Rattus norvegicus: one gene and its partner. Each later gene encodes a partner of the first gene's protein in a complex. Links are inferred from orthologs where the notes say so. Each region holds a gene or a part of one and is shown in the gene's direction. Other genes may lie near its edges.

Evidence for each region.
Region 2: the proteins of Ghrhr (region 1) and Ghrh are in contact, whole or in part, in a cryo-EM structure (PDB 7CZ5), measured with the Homo sapiens proteins. The link is inferred for Rattus norvegicus from reciprocal best matches to the Homo sapiens genes GHRHR and GHRH. Residues at the interface, in NP_000814.2 of Homo sapiens: Leu119, Ala120, Glu122, Glu123, Phe126, Ser127, Val129, Lys130, Tyr133, Val179, Lys182, Leu186, Phe187, Asp190, Thr192, Asp193, His194, Cys195, Phe197, His210, Thr213, Phe217, Ala271, Cys272, Asp274, Leu275, Asp276, Trp282, Ile285, Ile289; in NP_066567.1 of Homo sapiens: Tyr32, Ala33, Asp34, Ala35, Ile36, Phe37, Thr38, Asn39, Ser40, Tyr41, Arg42, Val44, Leu45, Gly46, Gln47, Leu48, Ser49, Ala50, Leu53.

Annotation. Positions count from the first base shown.
Region 1 is NC_086022.1:85,849,742-85,857,945, forward strand, and holds the start of Ghrhr (growth hormone-releasing hormone receptor isoform 3 precursor), read left to right. Parts: upstream 1-163; 5' UTR 164-167; coding exon of another isoform or gene 168-248; coding exon 249-305; intron 306-2,886; coding exon 2,887-2,989; intron 2,990-3,071; coding exon of another isoform or gene 3,072-3,099; coding exon 3,100-3,207; intron 3,208-3,758; coding exon 3,759-3,856; intron 3,857-4,852; coding exon 4,853-4,950; intron 4,951-5,748; coding exon 5,749-5,881; intron 5,882-7,206; coding exon 7,207-7,360; intron 7,361-7,646; coding exon 7,647-7,707; intron 7,708-8,125; coding exon 8,126-8,195; intron 8,196-8,204.
Region 2 is NC_086021.1:166,426,206-166,435,042, reverse strand, and holds the start of Ghrh (somatoliberin precursor), read left to right. Parts: upstream 1-3,162; 5' UTR 3,163-3,337; intron 3,338-8,837. UniProt on the Homo sapiens protein: GRF is released by the hypothalamus and acts on the adenohypophyse to stimulate the secretion of growth hormone.

The DNA of each region.
Region 1 (8,204 bases):
AAGCAAGGTGCTGTAACAGAGCTCAGCCAACCCCTGCTGAGGACACAGAGTCCCATTTGGGGCTGGCAGTAACACAATGTCCCACCATCCTGTTCAATATTCAGCTGGGTGTCCCTCCTGTTGGCCCTGCCTACACAAGCAGTTACTGGGAAGGTGAGGTAGCAGAGATGCAGCTTGGTGGCATCGCCAGAGACAGCCTGGGAGGGAAGGGCCACGGCTCTTTGGGGCGGACTACAGGCACCACTGCCATGGACAGCCTGTTGTGGGCTACCTGGGTCCTCTGCTTGCTGAACCTGTGGGGAGTTGTAAGTAGCCAGCTCAGACTTCCTTCTCTGTTCTCTTGGATGGTGACAGTCTGTAGTGAGGGACCTCCTGAGTCTAGTGGCTCCCTCCTTCCTTCCCCTGAATAATCTTAGATCCTGCCTGGCACTGAGCTGCCTCATTTTCCCCTCACCTAGGTCCTATCTGTATGCTCTGGGAGTCCCAGAGACACCTGTCCTGAAATGGCTAAGGCCGGTTAGGGCCTCCCTGTCAGACCTGAGCCTGCCCTTTCTCTAAGCCATATACTCCAGGCTGCCACCCATTACTTCTCAAAAAACAGCCAGTATCATCCCATCTCCTGACTCCTGGGTCGTCTCCAGCATGGCTGTTTTCTTGAAGGAAGTGTGGCCATGGACCATGTGGGGCCTGAAGAGGTGTGAATACCAGCCCTTCCAGCTGTGACATTTGGGGACTCTTCCTTTCATATAGCCAGGGTAGGAGAAGCTTCAGAAACCAACCTCCGCTCCCTGGCCTGTGCACAGGGGGATGGGGAAGCCAAGTAAGAAGGCTTCCCTGAACACACTGCAACTTTCCCAGCAGACTTTCTGGGTTGCTGACAGTAGCATCAAGGGTCAAGAGGGGAGGAGTCACAAGGCACTAGGAGGCGCATATGGGAACCGAGGCTACCCTCTTCTACTGCCTTGCCAGAGGTGACCCCCCCATCCCAGTACCTCACTGCCTTTCACTCGAGTCTGGCATCTGCATACCATGAAGTGAACTCTGTGACACTTGAGATTTCACTTGCCTCTGTGTAAAAAAGAGAAACTTGGGCTTGGTGTAGAGGCTCATACCCATAGTCTCAGCATTTGTGGATGCTAGAGGATTATCGTGAGTTCGATGTTAGTCTGAGCTACTGCAGAGAATTATAGGGCAGTGGACCTAGGGCTACCATGCCTCAGGAAGGGGGTAGGGATAAGCGGTCTGATCTGTCAAGGGTGGCATATGAATGTCATGCAGCTGGCATGTGAGTGTCATGCAGGTAAATTCTGTGAACTCCCTATATGACACAATGGACTCACATCCTCCTCTGTGTACACAGTACCTTGAAAGCTCAATTTCAGGGAGGGAATCCCAGACAAGAGGAGTCACTCAGCAGCTGGTGTAGACACCAGATTCAGGACTAGAGTTGTCCAGTGTCTCCCAAACCTTGAGGTGAGAAGCTGGTCAGGTCAGGGAATGGTCCTAAGTGTGTGTGTGTGTGTGTGTGTGTGTGTGTGTGTGTGTGTGTGTGTGTGTGTGTGATGTATAAGTGCATGGATCTTGCAAGGGAATTTATGTAAATCTTGAGAGATGTTAGGAATTTTAGGCATACTCAGATCTCTGTCTCACCTGCAGCACTTGGGCTCTACACGGCCCCTGAATCACCGATCAGAAACACAGAAATGTCCAGAAAAACTTAGAGACCATTTCTTGTGGCCCTCCCGGACTCTGGGAGGGATCCAGTCTGCAATCTTTATGATCACCAAGCACGCATGAAGGCAGCTTCCTTCCTTCCTATCTAATGATCAACTCAGTTTCCCTGACGCAGGACCCTCATCATCCACCATGCTTCTGTGCATCCTCGAATGTCCACCTTCCCCGATCTCATTGTCTGTATGTCTGTCTGAACACTCACCCACTCCACTAGTCAGTTAGTCCAGTCCCTCCCCATTCCATCCTCCCTGTTCCCTGTCCCTTTGCCTCAGTCAAGAGCTCTTGTTTTCTTACTCTCCCATCTGCCCGTATTCTCTCCCACTTACATTTGCTCATGTGACTTGTCTGAGACATGTCAGACGTCCATGCTTTTCAGTTGGCTAAAGCCAGGTGGTCTTCTGGAGTCTCCTGGCCTGGCCTGAGGCATTTCTTCATCTTCAGTAAGCACCATAGCTTCTTTTAACCCTCTCCATCTTGTCCCCTCTGATTTGGTCCTTGTGCTCTCTTGTTATGATTCTGGTCCCACTCAGATAACCAAAGGCATCTTCCTGACTGGAAATCCTTGACTGTATCTGCTAAGTCCCTTGTGTCTTACATATTTACTGGCTTTAGGGATTGGGACATGAACATCTTTGGGGACCATTGTTCTGCCTACCAGGGCTGTTCATGCAGAAACACTTCTAGGGCCCAGAAGTGTATGGAGTAGGGGGTGGTGGGGAAGGAGGAAAGGCCTTGTGAAGGAGTGCACTGTCACAGCTATCGACATCTACATGACTTTCTTTAATATGTCTCAGAATTCACTGCCACAAGATGGAAAAGTGAATCTGTCTCTCTCTCTTCTTTCCTATTTTCTCTGCCCTCCTTTCTTTCCTTTCCTCCTTCTCTTCTTCCCTTCTTTCTTCTGCTCTCCTTTCTCTTTTCTTCCCCTCCTGCTCCTCCCTCCCTTTTGAGCATTTGCCCTCTATTCCTGGCTCCTTTTTCTTTAAGCCCCACTGCTCATCAAACATGCCTTGATATCTGTGGGGCAGATGGGTCTTTCTCAGAAGTAGGGCATGGAAATGTACCAGGCTTGGTCTCTGTCTTCAGGTCACTCCAGCTAGAGAGCACGAGGCCTCTAGTGGGCTTGTCTCATTATGTCACTATTTCCCATAGGCACTGGGTCACCTCCACCTAGAATGTGACTTCATCACTCAGCTGAGAGACGATGAGCTTGCATGCCTTCAGGCGGCAGAGGGGACCAACAACTCGTCCATGGGTAGGAAGGGGTGGGGATGTCCCTAATCCTGACACCTCCTCTTGCATTGCCCTGCAGGATAGCATCTCAGTTTCCCTCACAGGTGCCATGTCTCCTCCTTCTCCACTTAGGATGCCCTGGGACCTGGGATGGGCTGCTGTGCTGGCCCCCAACTGGCTCTGGCCAGTGGGTCTCCCTCCCCTGCCCTGAATTCTTCTCTCATTTTGGCTCAGACCCAGGTGAGTGGCCTAGCTGTGGCAGAGCTGGGGAGCAGGTGGTCCCTTGTGGTTTGCTCATCACTGATTGGGTGATGGGCTGTCCTGGACTTCAGTCTCACTTTTCTATCTTCGACTGTTACCCTGAAAAATTTAGTCCTCTTGGCTAATGACTGATAGTGTCAGCCTCCCAGTGTAGGATTAATGACAGCATTGGAGAGAGGGAGGGGGTACCATATTGTAGAGGGTGAGAAACACCTCCTTCTCCACTTCACCCTCTGGCCTTCCTGACCCTTATGGAGAAGGGGGCATCATACTTCTTGCCCTTAGAGTGTAGAGGTCCATCATTCCATTCTTGTGCCCCTCAAATGAATATTGTTCAACAGAGCTTTCTTGGAGAACAGGAAAGACTACACTTGTCTGGAACCCCAGCCACAGGAAAAGAGGACTCTTCTCTCCCTGTGGTTAAGAACTCCTTGTATAGATCTTGCAGGGACACTTGACAGTCAGGGCCCTCCCACCATCTTCTGGGAAAGGGTGGAATTCTGTAAGCAGAGATTCTTGCTTGCCTCTAGGGGCTGTGAAAAGGGACTGCACCATCACGGGTTGGTCTGATCCCTTCCCACCATATCCCGTGGCCTGTCCTGTGCCCTTGGAACTGCTAACAGAGGAGGTAAGCAGCTCCCAATGTCTTAGAGGAAGGTGACCATGTATACTGGTAAAAGTGGTAGCTTACTATCTCAGTGGATGATGGATGGCTGTCATTGTCACTGTAACCAGCATGTGGGCATAGTAATTATAGGAGCTGTCCAGCAGATGGCAGGAACGTGCCTCCTGAAGCTGATTCATTTACTTAAGGGTGACACTTGGGTTACTTTGCTTTGAGGGAGAAGGGAAGTAGAGGGCAAACTGGAAGCCATAGTCACCCTCCTCTTGGCCAGCCTTTTCTCTACTCAGTTTCTGCTGCTGGGTGGGGGTTTTAGGTATTTCAGAGGGAACGAAGATTACTGTTGTGCTAGACAGGAAGTGCTTCCTTTCTCGGGTCCTCAGCCCGTGGTACAGTATACTGGGTTGTGGCCTGGGCCAGGGTGTAGTAATTACAGAGACCCCTGGCTCTGGGCAGCATACCCTACACTGTGTGCAGATCAGGATCTTCTCAAGGCCCATCCACACTCACAATCCCATTTCTCCCCGCCCTCAGCCCTAAGAGTTGAAGCCCTGGTGTCCTTATCATTCAGATGGAGAGACAACTCAGGGAAGCACAGGGATTGCGTGAGCTGAACGTCAGAGCCAGAGCTGTAGTAGTACCTGGTCATACTACACCCCTAGCTCCAACTGATTCAAATACTTGGATACCAAAGAGCCTTCCCTGCCTGCCTGTGGCTGTCCCTGGTGTCCAGGATGTTACCTTTATATGGGATGACAGTGTTCTCAAGCTAGCTGGGGTCAAGAAACAGGCCCAAATTCCTCTGGTGCTTTTGTTACTCTCCAGAGGCAGCAGCTGCTGCTGGTTCTTCCCACCCCCAGTGCAACTGTGACTCCCTAATGCCTCCACCTGCAGAGGCAGTGCCTGTACAAGGCTTTCTGTGGTGTCGGTGACTAGGAAGCTGGTGGAGTTGCAGACCCATGCTTGGTTGCCAAACCTCCCTTCTGCTTCTGTTGTCCCCAGAAGTCTTACTTCTCCACGGTGAAGATCATCTACACCACAGGCCACAGCATCTCCATTGTAGCCCTCTGCGTGGCTATTGCCATCCTGGTTGCTCTCAGGTTCGTCATTTGCTCAGAAACCATCACTGGCTCCCTACTGTCTGGGGACCATGTCTGGTTCTTTGCCTGCATAGACAAGAGGGGCTCAGATCCAGGCAAGGTGACCTTCGCTGACTTCTTGCCCCTCCCTTCCAACCCCCACGGGTGGGCCCTCTTCTCACACACCAGGTCTTTGTTCCCTTGGCTTTCCACACAGTTGCTCATTCTGTTAGCTTCCAGTGCCTTCTTTTTCTTGGTATTGCGTTCATCCCTGCCAACACTGGAAGTCCAGCTCTCATCAGGTTCTAAGAATCCTCCTTGACCCCTGCATGGTCCTCTTTGGATGGTTGTGGTTTTCGAACCATTACAGACCATTATAGCCTTCACCATGGAGCCCACTCTCAGCTCGTACTGCTGGGTGTGGTGGCTTTCCAGCCTTCAAAAGTTGAGTTTCCTCACAGGACTATGCTTCAAAGGGTAGATCTCTGATCACCAGGGGGCTCCCTAGGGTCTTACTGGACTGTGGTTGTCTCTGCACCCACAGTTACAGAGCTGTATGAAGGCGGGGCTATAGAACCCCTGCTCCTTACCTGAGCGTAGGCCATGAAAAGGCTGGCCAGCTGACCTTCAGGGTCAAACTGACACATTGTTCTCACTCTCTACCCAGTTCATTGGCTTTCATTTTATTTGATGTGGCTTTGGCTACTCTGCATTGACTCACCTTCTGCCTAGCTTCCCAGCCATGCCAGGCCTGTTCTAGGCCCTGGGAAGGTCTTTTTGCAGTTAGGCCTCTCCATTCATCTCTCTTGTCCCTTCCAGGAGGCTCCACTGCCCCAGGAACTACATCCACACGCAGCTGTTTGCTACTTTCATCCTCAAGGCCAGTGCTGTGTTCCTGAAGGATGCTGCTGTCTTCCAGGGTGATAGCACGGACCACTGCAGCATGTCCACTGTAAGGGCTATGGCTGGAGGGAGCTGGGACAGGGGAAGAGGGCAGGGGACAGACCTGCATGTGCCTGACCTGTTGCTACACAGCCTGTATTTATGACCAGCAACAAGGGAAGGAAGCCTCAAGCTTTCCCCACCCATTCATAGATCAATGCCAACATGAGCGACTCCCTTTGCCAGGGGCATCCCATACCATCATACCTCTTTCATCAATGTTCCCATTTCAAGTTGGTTACAGCAGCTCCTGGGCCAGCCAGCCATGTCATTGCCTTTAATGAGTATACAAGGACCTGGGTGGAGCTTGCCACCCCCTTTCTTCCAGAGGCACCTAGGCAGCAGGAGGCACCCAGACTTGGGGACTGCTGGGTAGGGAAAGCTGGGAACTAAGAGAAGGGCCTCATGGAGGGGGTGCATGGACACAAGGACAGTGAGATGGGGAGGAAGCTTTCAATGAGAGGAGAGTCTGGGGCAGAGCTACCTCATGGAAGTGGGAAGTCCCAAAAGTGGAGGGGTGGGGAAAGGAGAGGAGAGGAGCAGAGTGAACTAGAAGGGGTCAGAGTTCAAGGTCTTTCAAGTGTTCTAGAAATGAATAGACAAGTGAGTGCCCAGACCAACGAGTGGCCTGATTTAATTAATGAATTAATCACTGACTGCACTCACTTAGGCCGGGCAGCACACCAAGTACTTTACATGTATTATCTCTTTTGATCTTAAAAGGCCTTGAAGGCCTCACTGTAATCCCATTTTGTTAACAAGGGGCAGCTGGCCAGGTCACCCAGCCACACAGTTGGGGAATAGATAGAGCCCGGGCAACTGGGCTCAGAAGTTGTACTGTTGCCCACATAGGCAGGTGAGGGAGGAACAAGACTAATGGCTGCACGCATGATGGACACATCCTATATCCACTGATCAAAGCTATGCAGGGATAAGCAGTCCATGGTTAGTATCACTTTAAAGGAGAACTTCAGCTTAGGAAGGGCACATGACAGAGCAAATAGAACAGTGTGTGTGTGTGTGTGTGTGTGTGTGTGACACACCAAACACGACCTTAAGAGGTCCTGGAGTTTTTCCTTTCACAGACAGAACACCTAGGCTGAGATGCTTTGCATGATTGACAGAAGACACACCTAACCTGAACCTAGCCTGTGTGTCTGTGTTCTGACCATCACAATTATATTGTCAAACTCCTCCCGTGGCACACCAAGGGGTGGAATGGTCCGGTCCAAGGTGGAGGGGACCTGAGGGTTTGGGGTCTCAGAGGGGTGAAAGAGATCCAATGGGGGTTGAAGTGGGGTTCCAAGCTCTTAAGCATCAGGTCCCTGCTCTTAGATTCTGTGCAAGGTCTCTGTGGCCGTCTCACATTTTGCCACCATGACCAACTTCAGCTGGCTGCTGGCAGAAGCCGTCTACCTGAGCTGTCTGTTGGCCTCCACATCTCCTAGGTCCAAACCAGCTTTCTGGTGGCTGGTTCTCGCTGGCTGGGGTGAGCATCAAGGGCTCATTGACCATCATAGGGGAGGTGGAGGTTGGGAAGGACCTGGGAGCTCATAAAGAGGCCTTTCTCATTGTGAATGACTCTGAGGCTCAGAGAGGGGGGAAGAGGGCAGGCCATAGTCCTTTGCTGAGCATCAGGAAGTAGACCAGATCCCTTCAAGCCATTACCTGGGCCCACTATCATAGTCTGCATGTGGCTAACAATTGGTGGGAGGTGGAGTCTACACTCAAAGGGTGCAGGACCCTCACTCATCTCTGTGTTATCTCACTCACAGGACTCCCTGTGCTATGCACTGGTACGTGGGTGGGCTGCAAACTGGCTTTTGAGGACACTGCGTGAGTAGAGCAACTTCCTCACCCCCATGCTGTCAGCAAGGCCTGTAGTAGACTATCTAAGGGGGAGGGAGAGGGGACCTCTAGGTTAGAGCATGGCAGGTGGGCAGGAGGAAGGAGGAAGGAGGGGCAGGAGCTTAGGCAGGAAAGGCTGTCAGAGCTATGAATCTCAAGAGAGCAGCTCTGATCAGGTTTTCCAAGGGCAAGAAATGTCTGGACAAGGATGAAAAGGGCCAGTCTTCACTGGGTCTCTCCTTTGGAGAGGCTAGGATGGGAGAACAGGCCACAAGGAGATAGAGTGGGGCTGAAGACTTGAGCACTAGACAGAGAGAGGCCCCAGGAGGCATAGCATGTGTGTTGAGGAGGTGCATTGTCAGAGAAGAAAAGGGGCACCTTCAAGCCCACGCTCTCTTCTTCCCAGGTGCTGGGACCTAGACGACAGCTCCCCCTACTGGTGGATCATCAAAGGGCCCATAGTCCTCTCTGTTGGGGTCAGTTTC
Region 2 (8,837 bases), on another chromosome or scaffold:
CTGCCTCTGCCTCCCGAGTACTGGGGTTAAAGATGAGCACCATCACTGCCCAGCTTCCAGCTTATTTTTAAATCTTAATTCTTGTGTGTGAGTGCAATGTATGCATGGAGACCAGAACTGTTATAGGCAGTTATGAACCACTTGACAGAAGCGCTGAGAACCGAACTTGGGTCCTCGGGAAACAATAAGCTCTTCGAACCTCTGGGCCGTCTTTCCAGCCCAAGAAAATTTGCATATACCACTCGTGTGAGGGAAAAAAATTCAGTCACCATCCCTGTTCTCATCAGCCTCTTGAGCAAATGATAGCGTTATTTTCAAAGGAGAGGTTACAATACATTAGCCTCGGGGAGAATCTAGAATTAGAACCTGTGTTGCTTACAGTGAGATGGCAGAGGACTCAAGGGCCAAACAGGAAAGGGGGGAAAGGAGAGGAAGAGACAGGAGAAACAGAGGATATGTCTACATACAGTGACCCCTGGGTAAAAAATTCGCAATTACTCTAGTGCCACTGAGACCGCTCGCTTCGTGTGCTGCCTGCTTCTTTGTTGTCAGCTGCCAGGTTGTCATGGTAATGTAATAACCTCTGATAAGCTCATTTTCAATTCTGAAATATTTTAAAGAAAAGCAAAGAGTAATAATCTGCAGAACGGCTGCAGGGAGAGAGAAGATGCTCACGGGCGAGAACAGCATCAGGGTGACCTTTCTGAGGCTGAAGTCTGTCTTAACGCTGGTGGGGTGAGCGGAGAGCAGAGGCTCAGAAACCTGGGCAGGCATCTGAAGCGCCAGAGGCCAGTTCAGTTCAGCCGTCACTTTCTGCTCCAGTGGGCCTGATGTGTGTGGTGCTTTGACCCAGTTCCCAGTAAGTGCACAGAGTGCCATTTGGGACCACAAAAGCCGCTGCCCCGATGGGTTTGTACTGGGCTCTGTGAGTGGCATGCTCTAGTCTCTCCTTGTCCTAGACACATCTACCCTACTCCACTGATCTCCTCTATTACCAAGAGGCACAAGGTCCTAACATCCTACCCGGCAGACATCTTGTGAGCCAAGGGCTTTCAGGGCAGCTTCCAAAGATGAGTGGGTGGGAAGACTGGCGGGTGCCTGCCTGTTCTTGCTAGAGCTCTTTCACTCAGCTGCCTCACCGTAGGGCTGACCAACACTGACTGCTGGACCCGAGAGAATGTTCATTAGGAGTGTGTAGCTAAGGAAGGGCTAGAGCTGGCTGGAGAGAACTGGAAGTGTTTTCTTCAGGAACCATAATTGATTTCAATGGGATTCTGATCTCCTGCAGAAATGGATGTGAGGGCCAACGAGTTCAAAAATCAGCCCCGTCGAAACACACACACACACACACACACACACACACACACACACACACATACACACACACACACACACAGCTTATTGAGTAGAAACACAGTCAAACTAGCACTAGCAACTGAGGCAGGAGGATCACCAGGTCAGTGATATCTGAACCTAAAACAAAACAAAACAACGAAAACCGGGGTGAGGATGTGATTCCCCTAGAGAGCATGAAGCCCTGAATTCCATGCCCAGCCCCCTGACGTGGTGGAGCACACCTGTGAGTCCAGTGTTGCTGTGGGATATGGGGGAGGGTCATAAAAATCATAACTTAAAGGTCATCTTTGGTTGCAAAGCAAGTTTGAGGCCAGCTTGGGCTACATGAGACTCTGTCTTGGGGGGTGGGGGGGACGGAGATAAAGGAAGGAAGAAAGGGTTCAGAAATTAAAAAATAAAAGTAAATAAAATTTTAATTTTTAAACTAAAAGAAGAGACGAATATAAAGAGTTGTGGCGAGCACAGCTTTGTTTTGGTTTAAAGGGTCTGAAATCCAGTGTTTTGTTGGAAACAGGCAGGCAGGGGAGGGCAGCAGTCTGCGCGGAGCTCTGAGCCGAGGCTGGCAGGGACAAAGAACTGCCTTCCTGGATGAGGACTGCATGAGCAGAGACCTGGTGATGGGAGCCCACTAAGGCCTGCCGGAGGAGCTAGAAGTAGAAGCAGGAACCACTGGAGCTGAGTCTCCTCTCTCCAGATGCCACAGCCTGTCAGAAGCGGGACTCGGGAAAAGGGCTTCTCTTCCGCCCCAGGACAGAGTCTGTTTTGTTTCTCGCCTACTCTGTCTGGCTCCTCTCCAACACCAGTTCTTAAGGCTCTGGACATACACAATTCCACAGGCCCCTCTCCCAGGATCCAGAAACAGGACAGTCACATCCGGCATCCTCTGCCAACCCCGGCTCCTCCAGCTTCATCGCAGTCCTCAGTCCCTGGCAACCACCCACCGAATCCCCTTCCCTGCCACCGTGTGTGGAAGCGGGATACTGGACAGTCATTTTAGCTGATTTGTTCAATTTGTTTCCTGAGCTTTGGGCAACCCACTCCATCTGTAGATGGCTGTAAGCAACTTCCAAGCAGCATGCCTTCCTAGCCACCTCCCAGGAGCTCCCCAAGGGCTGCCTTTCATTCTCCTTCCAGGGGTCTGTAGAATACAGCCCTGGATGTTTCCAAGGCACGGACTGGCATAATAAGCGCAGGCGTCTCCATGACACCGTTCATTGAGCTTATTGGAGCGTTCTGCGGATGCCACGGAACATCGAGCCAAATCCCAGGAACACGCTCTGAACCCCAGGAGCTGCACACCACTCTATTAGGTAGTTTATTGGCGCATCAAATCTGGAGTCTACCTCCCTCGGTTCACAAATCAGTTCAGAGAGAGGATCAAACTTGCCCAAGATTAAAGAGTAATGGTGTCACCTGCTCCTCTTCCCTGAATGGCATGATGCCAGGGATGTGACTGGTGACCTGAAAGGGAGGGAAATCAAGGCAGGAACGGCTGGGTGTGATGGAGACCTCAAGGCTGTTGTGAGCCCCCCAAGAACAGACTCTCTGGAGGCAGGCTTTATCGAGCAGGTCGTTCAACTGGGGAGCACAAAGGCTACTTAAATTTTTGGGGAGTGAGTAGGGGCACTCAGGGCAAACGGATGTCATTGTCCAAGACCAAGGTGTAGGGAATGCTTTACTGCATGAAAAGGAATTTGAGGTGCTTGCTGTCTGGACGTGACTTTGTCCAGAGAGGAAATTTAACCTATAACCTGGCCACCGGTTATGACTACCTCAAGGATTGCAGAGGTGGGGCCAAAAGGCTATGTACGTGCTCTGGAACATGCAGGCCCAGGACGGAGAAGGAGGCGTCCTGCTCCTGCCAGCCTTAAGATGGGAATTTTAGGGTCTGGACATCACTGGTGCTCCAGGTCAGCTTTCCTGGTTGCAGATCTCTCCTGGTCAAGGCTCCCAGCTCGCCTGGATCCCACAACTGCACAGTGTAAGTTCGTAGACATCTAAATTTTTTTAAAGATTTATTTATTTTATGTATATGAATACTCTGAGCTGTCTTGAGACACACCAGAAGAGGGCATCGGATCCCATTACAGTTGATTGTGAGCCACCATGTGGTGGTTGGGAATTGAACTCAGGACCTCTTAACTACTGAGCCATCTCTCCAGCCCGACATCTAAATTTTGAACCTAGCTCTCCTGATGCCCCTATTGAGGGACAATGTCCTCACTGAGCGGTTAATAGGGATCTGCAGACCTCTGATGAACAGCAATGTGGCTAACCGCCCTTTCCAGTGAAACGCACGGAAACTGCAGTGCCTGGGAGGGAAATGAACCCAGTCAATCTCTTTTGTTATTTTTATCTGATTGGGTTCACTTCAGACCGGTTCCCATTTCTTATTTATGACCAAAGGCCCTTGAGTGAGAAAAATGAACTCAAGGACACCATTTTCTTTTATGCACTGCAAATGTTTCTATACCTCCCCTCCCCTCCTCCTCCTTTAAAATAACATTTCCTTCCCAGGGGCACCCCCCCCCGCCCCCAAGCTTCTAAAATCCCTGGCCTTTCCAATCTCCTCTTTGCCTTGGCTATAATTATCTTGGGAGAATTTAAATTCCTTATCATGGGTTTGTGACAGCCCCAGCTTAAGGCCTAGCTTCCATTCTGAGGTCTTGTCAAATTGCCCTCCATAGGAATTATTGTTAGGGCTTTTTTTTTTTTTTTTTTCTTAAAGGGTGATAATAGGATTTTGACTATGTTGAAGAAAGAACCCTTATCTTTTTTGAGATACGTGCTGAAATATTTACCAGTCCGGGATTTGCTTCAGAACAGTCCGGTGAGGGAGATGGCAAGCACCACAATATCTTACTGAAATTGTCTTTGCTGGCTTCCTCTCACAATCCTTCATTCATTTCCCAGTGCTGAGGGGAGAACTGGGGACCTCGTGGATGCTTGGTAGGGATTCTTCCACTAAGCAGTTGCCCACCTCTCTTGCAGGGACCCTTTGGCTTCCTCTCTTTTACCTCTCGCCCCCAGTCTTTGGATCTGTATGTTTTGAGCCTGGAGATGGGATTTGCCTCTGGGAGACTCAGCAAAGGAGAGAGAGAATCTTAGTTTCGAGAGCCCATCTCCAGGCTGACAGAAAGTAGCTCGCTCTCTCACTGGGGTCTTTCCTTCTTTTGACCTTATTATTAGTGTGTGTGGAGGTCAGGGGACAACTTTGAGGGGTTGTCCCCTCTCTTTCCACCCTATGTGGCTCCCAGGGATGGAACTTAAGTGGCTGGGCTTGCATGGTAAGCACCTTCATCTGCTGCACCATCTCGATGGCCTGGATCCCCCTTTTCTACTTCTGCTTCACCTGTCTTGAAGATAGATATAAATTCCCCAAGGTCTCTCCGACCCCCACCCTACCCCCCACTTCAACTCCTGTGCCCTTCAAGGGAGGGAACGAGGGAGGGAGGGAGGGAGGGAGGGAGGGAGGGAGGGAGGGAGGAGGCAGCTTAGAGAAACAACCATCATTTCCAAGATCTGAACCAGATCTAGTCACCTGGTCCCCAGGGTTTCCTGGAGGTCTTATGACACTCCGTCCCCAACATGTGCGAATGGAACTCCCATCCCCTCTTAACATGATCTCCACAGGCATCCTGGCCCTCCCTCCAGTCATCCATAGACTCATTTGGGCATCCTTTCCCTTCACTTCCCTGCCCTGGCTGTCTTGATAAGCTCGTCTAGGCTGTGCTGGTCTAGGCTGTGCTGGTCTAGCCTATGCTCATCTTGCAGAGCCTCCCTTAGTTACCTTTCACCATTGCACTAGTTCAGGCCCAAGGCTCACTGGCCTGAACTTCCTGACTGGATTCACTTCCTTCAGGTTGCTGCCAATGTTCCCCTTCCCAAACCATCCCACCAGGCCTCGAGAGCCTCCAATGTCCTCTCTCTGTGGAGAACAAGAAAAGACGAAATTCCTTAGTGTGGCATTTGATACCCTGCATAGTTTGGTCTAAATCTATTGGTCTCTATTTCCTACTAGTGGAGCCATGGACCTGGGTTCATATCAAAATAAGATCCCATCTCTATGATTAACATGCCAGAATCCTAGGTCCTACCTTCAACATTTGAATTAGGAATCAATCAGCCCATCTGAGAAGCACACAGAGGACCAGAAGGCATAGGGCTCAAGTGGGAATTAACTCTATAAGTTTGAGCACCAGAACTCAGGTCCCGGTTTTCTGAGGTGGCCTTCCTACTGGTGTTGTCTGTGGGACTTCCATCACCAGGGCCAGAGGGTGCAGCCCATCTTCCTCTCTTATCTTCAGATACTTGCAAAGTGGATCTTGAATTCAGGTGTGGCTATGTGAGCAAGTGGATGCTCGGATAGAGGGTTGTATCATTGGCTTTGATGAGTACATGAACCTTGTACTCAGATGATGCAGAAGAAATTCATTCTAAAACAAAGTCAAGAGAACAACCGGGTCGGATCATGCTAAAAGGAGACAATATTACTGTGCTCCAACGTGTTTGCAACTAGCAATAGTCAAGCGGGGAGAAGTCGAGAAGGGAGTTCAGGGTTTTAAAGGTGTCTTCTTCTGGGAGCTACGTTTACTCATCTTGTTTCACTTGTACATTATCATTAGGTGGCAATAAATGTTGTGAGATTGTTTTTGTTAAAAGGAAGAAGGAAAGAAAGAAAAGGGCCTCTACACACACACATGCATATGCACCTGCAACCCACAGGAACCTCCATACATACACAAGTACATTTTACGTTCACAGAAGATCCTAGGGCCCTCCTTCCAGCCACAATAAGTGTCATTTCCCTATCTCACTTCTCTTTGAGGCCCCATCTCAATGCCATGTCCTTCACAAAGCCCCTGCTGCTGGCAGACAAACGGAACCTGGACCCACTGCGCTCTGAGAGCACTAAACACACTTTGGTCACACAGTGTGCACACCACACTGTAAGCAATTTTCTGCTTGCCTTCCTGTCTAGAGTGGAATCTCCACCAGAGCAAGGCCCAGAACACCAGGGGTCCCCTCGCTCGGCACAGAGCAGTGCTTCATAAATACCAGTTCATTCGATCGCTTCTTATTCTTCCCGGTTCCTGGCCACCGAGCATGGTGCTTAGCGCCACTGGGTGCTGTCTGATGGGAAGATACAAAGGGATGGATGGGAGCTCGAAGGGACGATGAGACGCACAGATCAGCTAGAGATGCCTTCTCCTTGCTTAGCATTCTGGAATGCTCGTCTGTGAGAGACCAATCTGAGGGAGCTGTAAACGGGGTCAGGGCATGGCTCTGTGGGGTCTAGGTTTCATGAAGTCACCATATCTGAAGGTTCTGACGTTAATCAGGAGCATTGCTCTTTTAAAACCGTTTACAGCATTTGTTTATTTGTGTGTGTGTGTGTGTGTGTGTGTGTGTGTGTGTGTGTGTGTGTGTGTGTGAAGGTCAGGGAAAACTTGTGTGAGCTGGTTCTCTCCTTGTGCATCAGGGATCAAACTCTGGTCTGCTGAACCACCTCACCCCGCTGTGATGAATGCGTGTGAACCGACAGTCATCTTCCCTCACAGCCCTCCCATCATGAACCTCGGGACAGTCTTAATTTTATCACATGGAGAACTCCACCCGGCAGGATCTGCAGAGACCTCCACTGGCTCTACTCTGTGGGAAATCTGCTACTTGTTGTAGGGCTGGAGGAGACGTGCCTTGGGGTGCTGTAGCTGGACCAGGGTGGTTATGCTGTTCTGGCCCCCACTTACTGTCTCTAGGAGACTGGCACATAGCACTCCGATTCTCCATGGTCCAGCTTTTTCGGTCCTGCAGTGGGAGCCCTAGGTGTTCCTAATCCCGGTGGTTGCTGAGCGGTGAAGTCATGTACGGTGGACATCACCACCTGGGCTGTGATTTAGGACAAGTGGAGTTCAGTAAATAACGAATAATTGCTGGCCCCAGGTGCTAGCGACAGAGCTGCAAGCTGTGTCCTAGCCATGAATTCCAGCTTCTGGAGTTTAGTAACAGAGCTCCTAGGAAGCCAGGGGTGAGTGGGGAGGCTGTGGCAGGGCTGATCTTGGACTAAATGACTGGGAGTGGGTGAAAGTTGCACTTGGAGATAGAGGCTCTGAGGAGAACGCAGACATCTTGCTTCTGCTAGTTGGTGCCGGGCTACTAGGTGCCTTAACGAAAGTGGAACCACGGAGCGGAAATGAGGCCATATTAGATCCCTGATGATTTTTTTTTGTTATGGGAGACTGGGAACTGGAGATTCAGACAGGGCTTTGGGGTCTGCCTATGATGAGAGAATTATAAGAACGCCCTCTTCGTGTCCGCAGAGCCGATTGTCGCTAAGACATGCTAACCCTGAGACTTCAGAGGAGATCCCAAGAGAAGTTCTCTCCTTACTGACTGACCCCAGGTGCGCCGAGAGCCCTGTGTGATAGATATACTTTGGTCCTGCGGCAGGGCTTGAGCCAGGACGGTCCCCTAAGTGGAAACACAGAGAAAGACTTGGGAATGATTTGGGAAGAGAAGGATGAAGGGGCTTGGGTGGCAGAGTGAAGGATGGCAAGACAGATCTGACCAGAACCTGCTTTGTTAGTCCTGGGATTTCATAGGGAACAAAGCCCCACACAAGGGGCCTCAGACATTGAAACAAAGCCGGACTCCACCAAAGACTGGAGAACAGCGCCACCTCCTGGCTGCCTGAGGCTATGACCCTCTTCCACAGGCAGAACCGCAGGGTTTTTAGGGAGACCCTCCCTGTGTGTCTGATGTCTTAGCAGTCAAGAATAAAATGATCCTTTGAGCTCGTTTCCGGTGAGCCTGAGATCCTGCTCTCTTACTAACGCCCCCCCTCCTCACCAATACACCTATTATTCGGACCCAGATCAGCTTTGGTCCCTAGCATGTGGAGGGGCTTAGAGAAAGTTCTCCCCCCTGCCTCCACATATAAAATCATCCAACTCCAGGGGACATCAGGCAGGGAGAATGTTTCTTGGAGAGACAGGCCAAGGAGAGGCAGCCAGATGTAGGAACAGTCTCTTTGTAGCATGATACTTGCATTAACTCTACTGTCCCTATAGCCATCCCGGTAGGCATTCATAAGTCATAGCTCTCCTGCCACAAGACATTCCAAGGTGAGATATTCCAAGCAAGAAGAATTTACTAGAGCTGTTACATACTGTAAGGGGCAGCACTTTCAAGTAACCCAGAGGTGTTACACTGTGCATCGCTAAGCTAAATCCCCAGCCCCCTTTTAAACTTTTATTTTGAGAATCACCTAGGCTGGCCTTGAACTCTCCCTGTAGCCCCCAGGTGCTCCTTGACCTTGTGATCCTTCTACCTCCATCTACTGGGATGGAGGATGCTGGGATTAGAGACCGGCTTGAATAGGCAAGTCTTGACTTTGTCTCTTCACTGGAGAGCTCTGCAAGACCTCCTCGGATGCAGGCTTTTCTTAAAATTAAAAAAAAAAAAAAAAAAAAAAGGTGAGC